Linked DNA regions of Bombyx mori. The protein of the gene in region 1 binds, or shares a complex with, the protein of each later gene. Links are inferred from orthologs where the notes say so. Each region holds a gene or a part of one and is shown on either strand. Other genes may lie near its edges.

What was found. Proteins that work in one complex are often made in the same cells at the same time.
Region 2: small nuclear ribonucleoprotein sm d2 (region 1) and U6 snRNA-associated Sm-like protein LSm2 share a complex: the UniProt entries of both Homo sapiens proteins name them as parts of the U4/U6-U5 tri-snRNP complex. The link is inferred for Bombyx mori from reciprocal best matches to the Homo sapiens genes SNRPD2 and LSM2.

The regions. Positions count from the first base shown.
Region 1 is NC_085132.1:3,762,064-3,764,799, forward strand, and holds small nuclear ribonucleoprotein sm d2, read right to left. Parts: upstream 1,616-2,736; 5' UTR 1,540-1,615; coding exon 1,538-1,539; intron 1,436-1,537; coding exon 1,183-1,435; intron 891-1,182; coding exon 786-890; 3' UTR 535-785; downstream 1-534. UniProt on the Homo sapiens protein: Plays a role in pre-mRNA splicing as a core component of the spliceosomal U1, U2, U4 and U5 small nuclear ribonucleoproteins (snRNPs), the building blocks of the spliceosome.
Region 2 is NC_085129.1:20,029,783-20,031,851, forward strand, and holds U6 snRNA-associated Sm-like protein LSm2, read right to left. Parts: upstream 1,101-2,069; 5' UTR 1,028-1,100; coding exon 740-1,027; 3' UTR 660-739; downstream 1-659. Other genes in the region: protein suppressor of forked, read left to right, coding at 1,929-1,958. UniProt on the Homo sapiens protein: Plays a role in pre-mRNA splicing as component of the U4/U6-U5 tri-snRNP complex that is involved in spliceosome assembly, and as component of the precatalytic spliceosome (spliceosome B complex).

The DNA of each region.
Region 1 (2,736 bases):
CACCCTGTAACAACCATTTACTTAGGTCTATGACGACACTGTCTGCCATTTGAAATATCTCAGAAAACAATACTTAGTCACTGTTTCCATACCTCACTCATTACTTTTGAGTAATTTCTTGAGAATATTTTTGAAAAAACACTACATTTTTTTACCCTAGGGGAAAGTATGCTGTGGACTCATAGTGTCTGTCATGAAACCAACATGTTAACAAAATATTGGACTGGACTGCACAGCTTAATCCCATGATGTACATCAGATCTAATTTGCACAAATTAATAAGGGGCTATGAAAAAAATCATATTAAAAACACACTTTTACACTTTGGTTTATTATAGAAATTATAAACTTATTGACAGGTTTGTGGACTTCTTGACCATTGTAATTTTGCCATGTTTCTTTAAAAATGTTAAAGCATCTATATTTTACAAAATTGTTAGTTACTACTTGCACCAAAAGTAAGTATCTTTTTTTCAATTTTGGTATGTTCAGCCACTAATATGAAGTTATTTTATGCTAATATTAACAACAATACTGGTGAGACTCTTTTAATGCATCATTATAATAACTGATCGTTTTTAGCTTTATCTTACAATATGTGAACTTGATACAATTTCAATATATTAAAATATCGAGTTTGTTTATTTATTACATATAGTTGCAGAATCATAGAACTAACACAGTTTCCAATTTTGTAAAAGTATTATTACAGTTTAAGGAATGAACCAGTAAAGCTATTCATTTCCTGAATATTTTATTCATTAATACTTAAACTAATTACTGCATTACTTCCCTGCAGCTGTAGCAAGAGGATTCCTTAGTACTAAGATCACAGAATCACCGCGGAGGAACATTTTGGAGATGAATTTGTCCTTGTTTACAGCTTTGCCCTGAAAATAAAACCAGAAGTTATACGTATTTTGAATTTGAAGAGTTTTAATGAAATGAGCTAACACAGAATGTTTCATATCCACATAATTGTCATCTTGGGAATTTCCAGTGGTTTGTATTTTATCTCCGCTAATATTGGCCTAAAATACGCGACATCATGTCTTATTGTGTACTTTTCAAGTTGGAGCTGTAGCACTTTTATACATGAGCGCTTGGGAGTGGTTCCTATTTCCAATACATAACCTCAAATTTCTGAATCAATTGAACTGAAATACAGTAACATCTGTTTACCTTCTTTCCTTTGCCAGTTCTCGGTACCTCAGTCCACATTTCCTTAACATTCTCCAATACCATGTTACAATGCCGGTCGAAAGCCTTCACTCTACCCAGGAGTTTCTTATTGTTACGGCAATTTATCAGAACTTGTGTGTTGTTCTTTACTGACTGCGTGAGCACGGAAAGAGGTCCGGTACTAAACTCTTCCTCTTCGATTTTAGATAGCTCTTCTAGGGTCATTTCAGAGCGTGGCTTAGTTGTTGACGTCCTATAATAAGGTTAACATTAGAGTTATTGTTGACCATTACCGGCTAAGCAGATAATATGTTAAATATATTGTTAAAACTACGTAAATCATATTAATACTTACATTTTGTATTATTTTATGGGCTTGTGAACTGAGAAATTGAGTGAAAAAGATTACAATTACAGCAAAACTATCGTACACACGCTAAGTCGACGCTTTATTTTGTCTATGGTGACTCTGCTTTTTAATTCAACAATTTTTTGTAAGGAATTTTGTGACCTGGTAACTAAGACTTGTAAGTCATGTCTTATTTTAATTTATATTCTTAATTTTATGAAAAATGATAATATGGAGTGAAATGAAAATGATTAATTTGGGACATTAATCGACTGGGATGAAATAAAATGAAATGAGATGATATGGGATGAAATATAATATAATCTCAGTAAAATGGTGGTCATTTACTGAGATCTTTTCAGTGGACTTTTTGGAGGATCCCGAGAAGTTACATCCAGCGGCTTTGTTTCATTTTCCCACATTTGTACACTTTCACAGATAATACACAGTTAATAAACCACCGTTATTACACATTTCAACCTGAAGAAACACTAAATAAATAGACAAAATAAAACAAATCACACAACTTCACTCCTCGCGTTCCCGCCAAAAAGTATTATTTCAACAAACAATTATGGCCACTAAATGTCAGTTTTTAACTCGACACTGACATTGATGAAATCGTAAAAAGACGGTGGTAATACTGAAATTAAAGTTAACGAAGAGTTTCGAAAGGAGACTGCACGTCAAAATGGATCGTGAAACCCTTTCAAGATTTATTGAAAGTTATAAGTTCCACATTTTTGTGGAATGTCTCAAGCGCAGACTATATGAATAAACCAAAAATAATAAACGTATTACAATTTTTAGGCCCATTTTAGGGGAAGCTGCAAGGATTGATAGCGTGCGTAAAAAATGATATTAATTATTTGAGTATACTCTGCACGTTTAAAAAAATCATCCAAAACCTCTTGCTATTTTTTGCCTCTCTTCTGCTGCTGCTGACAACATCAGAAGGACTCCCATTTTTGGCGTTTTGATAAAGCAGCTGGCATTTTAACTTAAAACCCTCATTTAATTCGTTCGATTTATTCTGTTCGCGCTTGATACATCCAGCACTGCGGTCTTGAGCTGACGTACAGCCGTGACGGATCGTGAATAAAGCGCTAAATGCATCGTGCATCGTGCATGGCCTTGGCGGGACGTACAGCAAGATGGATCGTGAATAAGGCGCTTAAGGAAATTTTAAAATACAAAGTCATGAT
Region 2 (2,069 bases), on another chromosome or scaffold:
TTTCACTAACAAAATTTCAATATGTAACGGAAACTTACAACAAATGTAGTTTTAAAATTATGTTTCTATCTATATATTTCTGTAATCTATCTAGTTATATATATATAAATGAATTGCTGTTCATTAGTCTCGCTAAAATTCGAGAACGGCTAGACCGATCTGGCTAAATTTGGTCTTGAATTATTCGTGAAGTCCAGAGAAGGTTTAAAAGGTTCAGGTTTCAGGAAGGTTCAGTGTTTGGCAAGCAACATATTTTAATGATGCTTTTACAATCCCTTCTGCCTATGGAAAACTATGACATGGCCATCTTCAGAAAAAGTATATCTTAAAAATCCAAAATAACAGCTTTGTAAATATTTACATCCAAATTATGTACACTAGAGATCTAAATCAATTCTGGTTTGAAAAAAGGCTTAAGTATTAAGGAATGCAGCTATGTCTAATAATTATCAGTATAGTTTGATGTGAAAGGTAATAAAAACTTTTTTCTGTGATACATTTTTGAGAATGGTAAAAATATAGATGTTTTTTATTGATAAATTATTCTTTCATACTCTGGTATAAAACTTACATAAAACTGAAGAACTAGGTTATTTTTCGATCAAAGGAAACTTTCTTTTCTGAAATGAATATCCGGAGACCGCTACTAAAACACTATATTATAAGAATGATTTATTAAGAAACTTAAGCTTATATTAATATGTACACTTTAAATTGAAGTTGTAGGTTAGGTTAAGTTCTATCTTGTTGAAACGGTCGCCTCCTTTCTAGCGGCATCCTGGAGAAGCTGGGTGTCTACCTCATCAGCCGGCAGTTGTACGTATCGAACCACGGAGCCTCTTATAAAACAATTTTTCACTGATAACATATGAGGATACTTTTCAGAGTCAATCACGCTTATATCCGAAAGCTTTATATTGAGATATTGATCCACAGAATGCAACGTCCCACATATGCTGAGGTCATTTTTCAGCTCGACGACTACATCCTTACCGACTAACGATTTGAAAAACGAGTAAAACAACATTTTTCGTTTTGTTTGTTTGAAAACGCGCTGAAACAGTAATTTGGCTTGGGTTCTTCAATTAATGTCATTTAAAACTCAAAGTCAAAATCATAAAATGTCAATGCCAATAGCTTTTTGTAGCGGTGTGAATCGGTATTTTCCGTAATTTTGTTAGTTTTGTGCAGGAGCACCATCTCATTTCCAATGTCTTGCATTTACTACGTTTTCGTTACCTGTGCTTAAATTTTTAAAACAAATCGGGACTTTTTGGCGGGAACGTAAGGAGTGAAGCTGTGTGATTTATTTTATTTTGTCTATTTAGTGTTTCTTCAGGCTTAAATGTAATAATGTAATCTAATTTAATGTGATAATGGTGGTTTATTGACTGTTTAATATCTGTGAAAGTGTACAAATGTGGGTAAATGAAATAAAGCCGCTGGACATAGCTTCTCGAGATCCTCCAAAAAGTCCACTGAAAAAATCTCAGTCAATGACCACCATTTTACTGAGAATATGTCATCTCATATCATCTCATCTCATCTAATTTAATTTAATTTCATCGCAGTTGATTAATATCTAAAATTAATCATCTTCATTTCATGTCATTTCACTACATAATTGTAACATTTTTCATAAAAATAAGAATATTAATTAAAATAAGACATGACTTAAAGATCTTAATTACCAGGTCATAAAATTCCTTAAAGCGAAATGTATAATCTATAGCGTCCGCTAATCCCGTTTGAGCTTGGTTGAGTTGTTTAATTTTTTAAAGAAAATTGTGTTTTTTTATTGTTTTAAATCGATTTTAACACTGAGAGTAATGTGTCCACAAACAATCAGTACCTCATTTACTTAGTTCTTCGAAAAACTGTTGCTCGGACTTAAAACCAGATAGATAACCTCAAACGTAAACTTCAAAATGGCATCTGTAGATGAAATCGCCGACATTGTGAGTTTTTACGCATTAGTCGCATTAATTGAATATAATTAAAAACTAAAAGAACAAAGGTTTTCTTTTTTGATTTGATATTCCTGAATGTTGTGTAATTCGTTTATATAA